Linked DNA regions of Macaca mulatta. The protein of the gene in region 2 binds, or shares a complex with, the protein of the main gene of each other region. Links are inferred from orthologs where the notes say so. Each region holds a gene or a part of one and is shown on either strand. Other genes may lie near its edges. The genes, in order: NPPC and NPR3.

The links.
Region 1: the proteins of NPR3 (region 2) and NPPC are in contact, whole or in part, in a crystal structure (PDB 1JDP), measured with the Homo sapiens proteins. The link is inferred for Macaca mulatta from reciprocal best matches to the Homo sapiens genes NPR3 and NPPC. Residues at the interface, in NP_001191304.1 of Homo sapiens: Asn110, Tyr138, Ala141, Pro142, Arg145, Ala161, Gly163, Phe164, His166, Glu170, Tyr171, Tyr204, Lys208, Leu209, Arg211, Tyr214, Phe215, Leu217, Glu218, His221, Glu222, Gln225, Ile233; in NP_077720.1 of Homo sapiens: Gly109, Cys110, Phe111, Gly112, Leu113, Lys114, Leu115, Asp116, Arg117, Ile118, Gly119, Ser120, Met121, Ser122, Gly123, Leu124, Gly125, Cys126.

Annotation. Positions count from the first base shown.
Region 1 is NC_133417.1:137,158,234-137,162,573, forward strand, and holds the start of NPPC (C-type natriuretic peptide precursor), read right to left. Parts: upstream 2,894-4,340; 5' UTR 2,746-2,893; coding exon 2,656-2,745; intron 2,208-2,655; coding exon 1,917-2,207; 3' UTR 1,897-1,916; intron 1-1,896.
Region 2 is NC_133411.1:34,125,267-34,129,073, reverse strand, and holds part of NPR3 (atrial natriuretic peptide receptor 3), read right to left. Parts: intron 3,710-3,807; coding exon 3,543-3,709; intron 1-3,542. UniProt on the Homo sapiens protein: Receptor for the natriuretic peptide hormones, binding with similar affinities atrial natriuretic peptide NPPA/ANP, brain natriuretic peptide NPPB/BNP, and C-type natriuretic peptide NPPC/CNP.

The DNA.
Region 1 (4,340 bases), on a different chromosome or scaffold from region 2:
GGGAGTGGGGGGCAGTGAGGGTAGGGTTTTTATTTTTCATTTAAAAAACCCAAATAATAAATCCACACCCCCCTTCCCAAATAATAATAAAACAGCTGGTGTTGGGCATAAGCCGGTGTTGAGGATGTTGATGATAAGTGTTCATCTATGCTAAGAGAGCTAGTAGGAGATTAATGAACCCCCCTGATCAAAGGGGTTGAGAATTCTTAGCAATGTGGATTCCTCCTACACAGCATCTTTCACTACCCGTCTGGTCATCACTTGGTGACCACAGACAGCCAGGCCCAAGAACAAGGCCCCTATGGGAATGCGCATTCCAGGTACGAACCCATGGAAGAGTCGCTAACATTTGTTCCGGTTCTAAAGTTTGAACTTGATGCTTAAATCAAACTGAAAATTTGAGGCCTCAGACTCCGTCTCTTTGTTGTTTAGACAGGAGAGAAGAGAGGAAAGGCATTCCAAGGGTAGCTACTGAAGGCTGGTCCCCAAGTGTCAGAATCATTTTTCTCCCTGTGCAGGGGAGAGTCAAGATCACAGACAACTGCAGCCTTTGCAGAACTGGGGAGCAGCCCACAGCCGAGGGAGGTCTGGCTGCAAAGAGAGGAAGGGCACTGGTTAAAACCTAGGGCAGGTGGGAGTGGCCATGGGCTAGGGTGTGCTGGTTTCTCTGGTCATTGACAAATATTTCTGAGTCTGTACGGGGTGCAGTGGGTCCTAGAGTGCCTTAGGCCAGCACTTGGCCCTTAAGCTGTTCAATACGGGGAGGTGAATGGGTTCACAAACTGTGAAAAAGTGTTCTGTACTGTGAAAAAGAGACAGTGTGCTGGAGAGGCGCTCTTGTTTCCCTCCGGGGGAAGACCCAACACTGACAAGGGTTTCTGGGGTGGAGACAGCAGCTTTCCCATGGCCTGGGATGGGACAGTCAAAGTGTGGGACAGGCAGTGGCAGCTGCTGAGCTGGAGGCAAGAAAGGGAGAAAGCCGAGTGAGCCTGATCCTAATGCACATGACTGTCAATGTCAGAGGCTGGGATGCTGTTATTCAGTGGGCACAGGCAGGCGGCAGGAATAGAGAGGAGGGAAAGAGGAGAGGTGAGGCTCTCTGCAGCAGTAAATTACCACCATGCGGCACCCGGCAGGGGGTGACGGTAGGGCAGAGGTTTCCAGCCCTAGTGCGGGGTGAGATCCCACACCAGAAACGGAGCCCAGAGCACCGGTTGGGCGGGGGACAGGGTTGGTGAGGGACTCTGGGACATGTCGAGTTTGAGGGTGGGGCAAAAAATATTTACTTTAGTATCTTTCCTATTCCCTGAAATAGTGCCACAAGCACTGAGATTCACCCCTGAAGCCACCGGGCTGCAGCTCCCCGGACAGACCAGTTTGCCCACTGCCTGGGTTTAGAGAAGGGACAGGACCCTGGATAGACCAGTTTGCCCACTGCCTGGGTTTAGAGAAGGGACAGGAATCGGAGTGCTCCAGGCAGAAGGGCGCCCTGACGGTGCCAACAGAGGGCTACTCTCGCTACAGGGGGCATGGTGGCCGGCAGATGATCAATGTCCCTTGGACTTGTGGGTGTAACCTTCCTTCTCTGCTCCCACAAACCCATGATCTCCCCTCAATTCCCCCACCAGCTGGCCAGCTGGGGCCAATGCTGCTAGTTCAGCTAAGGTGCAGGGGTGGGTGAGACGCCACCAAGCCTGTTTCTGCTTCTCTAGAAGAAGCCTGGTGGGTTCAACCAGGCTGAGCCATTTCTGACCATGCCAAAGTTCCCCGATCACTTTATCCTTCGCTTTCTTTGTCTGTAAAGGGGATAATAAAGGGGGTGGCCGGCAAACGCCTGGCACAACTTGAGCAAAGCCGGGCCGGGCTGGGGCTGGGCGCGGGGTCGGCGGTACTCACCGCCGCCAGGGGGCGCCGCACTAACATCCCAGGCCGCTCATGGAGCCGATTCGGTCCAGCTTGAGGCCGAAGCAGCCCTTGGACAAGCCCTTCTTGTTGGCTCCTTTGTATTTGCGCGCGTTGGGGTGCTCGTGCAGAAGGCGGGCCCACGCTGCCCGCGACTTGGTGTCCACGCGCAGGTCCCGGAGCAGTCGCGATCGGTCGCCCTTGAGGTTGGCGCCCCCGCCCCCGGGAGCCTTGTCGCCCTTCTTCTGACCGCCGCCCGCAGCCTGCGGCTCGGCCAGCTCCTCTCCCGGCGGGGTTCGCGGGACCTGTCCGAAGAAAGAGCGGGCAGGTGAAGGGACGCGCGGCTGCAGCACAGGGGACTTTGATGCTCCAGCCCCACGCGCCCGCCGGCGCGGGGTGTCCCTCCTAAGCCCAGAGCCGCCCCCACCGATGCCGGCCAGCTTGGCCCCGCATCCACCTGCCACGCGGCCGCCTTCTCCGCTCCCTCCGGAAGCCCCCTGCCCTCCCCTCCTTTGCTGCTCGCCCGGCAGGCCACGCTGGGGCAGGGGGCTGCGCATGGGCCGGCGTTCTCCGGAGGCTGGGGGAGTTGACCCCCGAGTCCGCGCTTCGAGGGCTCCCCGGGTCTCGCCCACGCGCATCTCGGAGGAGAGAGCCGCCTGCCTTCCCTCTCTCCTGGGTCCTGCGCGCCGCATTCTCCAAGCCCCCAGCCTCCCACGACTCTCTCAGGCTCGGCGTCCCCACGACAGCACCCACCTTCGGCGGCGCTCCGGGCTTGGCTTCGGAGGGCCGGAGTGAGAGCAGTGTGAGCAGCAGGGCGCAGGCCAGCAGCTGGGAGAGATGCATGGTGCCGCTGGGGTCTAGGGGCGCAGACGGGCGGCAGCGAGGGCGCGCGGGTCGGCGGGCAGACCAGCAGGCTGGTGCGGAGCAAGCTGGCTGGGCTGCAGGGCGAGCAGGCTCCCAGTGCTGCGCGGCGCCGGCTGGGTGCGCTCTGAGCCCGTGACTCCCCTCGCGCCTTTATAATCCAACCTGCCGCTGATGTCATCCTCCCGCCCACCGGGCTGCCCGGGCCAATGACACCACGCACGCGGCCGCGCCGAGGGCCGGGAGGGGGCCGCGGGGGCTCCCCTCCCTTATCCCACCCCGGAGGGATCCCGCGGTTCTGCCGGCTCGCTCCAGGCTGCACTTGGAGCTGCAGAGCGGCGCGCACAGGGGAACTCCATTTGCAGCCAGCGCGCGCCCTGGCCTGATGAGCATCAGTGCGCCCTGTGCCCTGTGCACCCACTGGGTCCTCAGCACACTCACTCTACCTAGAAGGGATCTATAGCTCTCTTTGCAGGTGCAAAGACAGGCTCAGAGGAATGAAATTACTTGCCCAAAGTCATACAGGCAGAAAGTTGGCGCTGCCCGAAATCCACGCAGCCCTGCTGGTCGCCAAACTCTTCCCTGGCACCTGACAGCCGCGGGATGGGCATTGCAGCTCCGCCTCTCACCTGCTCGCCAGGGCGGGAGCGCAGACCACAGAGATGTCGTTAGGTTGGGGAGGTAGAGGATGGGGTTGGAGGACTGGGGTGGGAGGCACAGGGAGAGCGGGGTTCGCCTGGGCCGCGGCGGGAGCGCAAGTCTTCCGCACTGGAGAGTGCAAGCATGTCGCCAACCTGAGTGTTTGAGCGGGAGGCGGGAACGAGGGGACTGCGAGCGCGGAACCAAGATATTCATGTTCATGCGTGTGCTCGGCGGCATCGTGTGCTCGCCAGTTATGGCTCTAGGTTCACGTTCAGCCGGTTTCGGCTACACAGAACGTCCCCGGGTCTGACTCCGCTGGTGAACTCGGTCTGTGGGAACAATGCGCACCTGACCTTGCCTGCACCCACGCGAGGATCCGCTGCTGAGAGAAGCCCGCTCCAGTATCCTGTGCACTTTCACAGGCTGGGGAGGGAGCTTCCTAACCAGCGGCCCGGTCCAGCCTCTGCCAGCCGTGACAGGTGGTCAACTTCCCACTGTTGACTGTAGAAAGGTCCTCGTGGCTCTCGGGACACGGCCACATATCCCTACCACTCACAAACTTGCTCTCCTTGCACTGGGCTTCTTGGTCCCTTGGGCACTAAGGAGTGTGGTGGGCACTTGGGCACTGCGGTGTGGGCCGCAGAGGCGGAGAGCCCAGATCCCCCAAATTGAGTGAGGTGCACGAATCTATGACTGGCTGCTGCCGAGCAGGACGCAGGCTGGAGAGAGAACAAATGTTGCCGCAGGAGTGCAGTGGCTGTCCCCAGGCGTGAAGAGGATTCTGCGGAGACAGTAGCCCAGACGAGCTTTTCCAGGGAGAGGAAGCGGTGCCTGAGGCAGGAAGGCGGCTGGAGTGAAGAGGGGTTTTGAGCACCAGGTTCCTCCAAACCTCCCTCTTTCCTCCGTGGTAGTGAGCCTGGTCCCAGAGCTGCTAA
Region 2 (3,807 bases):
GAAGTTTTAATTTAATTAATTATATTTAATTTTAATTCAATATACTTAATACTTGAATTAAGTATACACATTCTTAATTATACTTTTAAAAAGTTACTTTATTTACTTATCTTTTTAGAGGTGAGGTCTTGATATGTTACCCAGTCTGGGCTCAAACTCCTGGACTCAAGTGATCCTCCCACCTCAGCTTCCCAAGTACCTGGGAATACAGGCATGTACCACTGTGCCCAGCTTCTTAAGTACACTTTCAATTAAACATACTTAAAAGTAGAAGAATTTAAAAGAAACAAAACTGCCACTATTCCTAGATTATGTGATTCTTTGGAAATGCATGGTTAATTTTAGAACAAATGAGAGTCCACCAAAGTCACTGAATTCGAGATGGATAGCAGAGAATGAAGAGCTCACGATGGGTGTCATCAACTGGAGTTCTAAGAAAGCAGATGAGACAACTCATTAGCACAAGTAAGAGAAGCAAAAAGACTGAGTCTAGACCCCAGACTCCTACAGGCTCTCCCACCACATTAGATCAAGCACTAGAATCTGGGAACCCAGCCACACCAGGTGCTGGCTCTTTGGCTCCCATAGTTCCTTCCCATGATACTCACCAGGACCACCTGTCTAACCTAACTTGATAAACCTCTGCAGCTGGTGTTTACAAGAGCCCAACTCAGCCAGGAGTGGTGGTGCGCACCTGTAATCCCACCTACTCCAGAGTCTAAGGCAGGAGGATCACTTGAGCCCACGAACTGGCTAGAGCAACACAGGGAGGCCTCATCTCAAAAAAAAAAAAAAGGCCCACTAAAACCTACATACATACAAAAGATGGACACATCTTCAGAACTAAAATAAGTTATTATAGTTAGCTCCAACTTCTACTTAAAATTCTAATTTTTATTTATTTATGAAGTCAGTTTTAACAGTCCCACTATCAGAGGGAAGCAGTATGGTAATCTAGGGCTGCAAACAATCTCTACAGTGCTCTTATTAGGTTTGGAATGTTCTATAAAGCTTTGTAGTAGGTATACGTTTCCAGTGAGATTTTGCTTAGACTACCATTAAAATAAGATGTAATATTATGAACACAGAATAACAGATAACCAAGAAGAATTACCCAGTAGTGGGATGCCAACTTTTTCTCTGAGACAAGGTCTTACTCTGCCACTCAGGCTGGAGCACAGTGGTGCGATCACGGTTCACTGCAGCAGCCTCGACCTCCCTGGGTTCAGGTGATCCTCCTACCTCAGCTTCCCAAGTAGCTGGGACTACAAGTGCATGCCACCATGCCTGGCTGATTTTTGTATTTTTTGTAGAGATGAGGTTTCACCATGTTGCCCAAGCTGGTGTTCAACACCTGAGCTCAAACAATCGCCGGCCTCAGGCTCCCAATGTGCTGGGAGGACAGACGTCAGCCACTGCTCCTGGCTGGGATGCCAACTTTTGCCCAATGAGAGGAAACCAGACAACATGGCACCATTGTTGAGTTTTTAAACCATAAAATTAATATGAACCTAATAAAGTAAAATAATATACAGTGGCATATGTAAAAGAGTTTGATGTTTTCAATAACGACCCAGCCTACATGTGGCAGCACTACTGAAGGAAGTTCAGTACCTTTTGTGTTCTTTCTTGTTTCTGAGACAAAGGATTTGGATGATGACAGCACTACCATATGTTTCCTTAAACGTAGGCTCTGTTGCAGAAACCCTACTTCTTTCATAATTCAGAACACGCTGTCCAATATGGTAGCCACTAGTCATGTGTGGCTATGTCATGTGGAGCTTGAACAAGGGCTTCGCACGCTATAAGTGTAAAATCACACTGGATTTCCAAGACGTAGTACAAGAAATACACTAAAATCCCATTAAAATTTTTTAATTTATTAAATGTTGAAATATTGTGTTTATATTGTGTTAATTGGAATATATTATTAAAATTAATTTCACCTGTTTTTTTTTTTCACTTTTTCAAATGTGTCAACTAGAAAATTTAAAATTATATATGTGGCTCACTTTTTTGGCTCACGTTGTATAACTACCAGACAGCACTGATTTAAAAAGTCAAAAGATATTTTAAATGATGTGAGTATAGTATATGCAACATTTAAAACATTAATAAATATGTTTATAAGACACTTTGTATGCCATTTGATAACAAATTCCTATAAAGACAGGTATAATCTTGAAACAGTGGTACAAAAGAGGTACCATTTATTTCGTTCTAACTTTCTGACAGGGATAGTGCTAAATGCTTCAGGTAAATAATCCTAAATCCTCCAGCAGGAAAAAGTAATTTGAATCGGGGAAATGGAGCAATTTTTCCAAGCCACACAGCTCAGAAGTGCTAGATCTAGACTCTGAAGGCAGCTCTGAGGCCAATGCCAGTACTCTGTGGTACTTCAAGTAGAGAAACTAGGAGAAACCCTGTTTGGAAGTGGCCATCTCTTATGAAGTTGATCATTATCCAATTTGAGCAGGGACTATCCAGGCCGTATGCCTATCATTAAGAATGTGCTCCTAATTAGCTGGCATGATGGTGTACACCTGTGGTCCCAGCTACTCAGGAGGCTGAACAGGGAGGATCGCATTAGCCCAGGAGTTTGAGGCTGCAGTGAGCCATGATCGCGCCACTGCACTCCAGCCTGGGAGACAGAGCGAAATGTTGACTCAAAACAAAAGAAGAGGAGGAAGAAGGTGCTCCTTTTCAGTTTTGGATGCTGTAGAGTGATTCGTTTTGAAGACCAGCACACCTACTCAACTAGTCCAAGGTGCCCACCTTTCATCCTGCTCTAAGAAAGGATTTACAGGAGTGGCGTGTTGGCCATGCAGCAAAGCATGTCAGAGGCAGTCAAAACAATGATGCCAAATGAGGTGTGGTCAGCTGCCTGCGGTGCCAGCTCTTAGATGAGTCCCTCTGCTTAATCCTCAGTCTGAACTAAGGTTCTGACTCTTGTCCACTCCTGAAATGCACTAGTAACAACAGCACTAATGGAATGTGAAGTCCTGCAATATGTGAGCAGGAAGCAACTTCCAGCAGAAAGAGGCGACAACACCATCCACAAGCAGACTAGCCAGAACGCCAAGCCAGGCTGCCAAAAGAAAGTGTCTCCTAAAACCCCAAATACCCAATGCCACCAAGCTTTGGAAAAATGAGGCATGCAAACCTTTGGCACTCCTTCATCCTTCTTCTCCCCCAAAACCCTCTTAGTCAAATACGTGATGGAAGTCTACAGACATTCTACTCAGCACCACCACAAGTGCCCACGAAATAGCAATGGTCCTTCCTGCAGCAGCTGAAAAAGTGTAAGTGAAGGGTACAGATGATAGTGAGTATATTTGGGAGGGAAGGAGGAAAACCACTCAGAAAGAAAACACACACACACACACACACACACACACACACACACAGAAGGCAACAGTGAAATTCAGACCTGAACCTAGGAATTTTTGAATGGCTCAGAACGGGACACTCTGTCATCTCTGATTTAATTAGAAGACTGTTTTCAGGATGCTGAAGGCCTAGGTTCATAATCAGGCACTTACGTAATCCTCCATATTGAGACCTTGTTTCTCAACAGAACTTTTCACCTCCATGGAAAACTTCTCAAACTCGGGTTTCACTGTCCTCAGTAGAGTGACTGTCTGGAGGGACGAGTATGCTTGCTTAGCTTCGAAGTCGTGTTTGTCTCCTCTCTTCCACGAGCCATCTCCTATGAAAGAAATAAAAATATTTGCAATTCCAAGCCAGCCACCAAAAAGAGGCCATTCTGCCTTTACAACTGCGATGTGCCCCCCGCATGTTACTTTT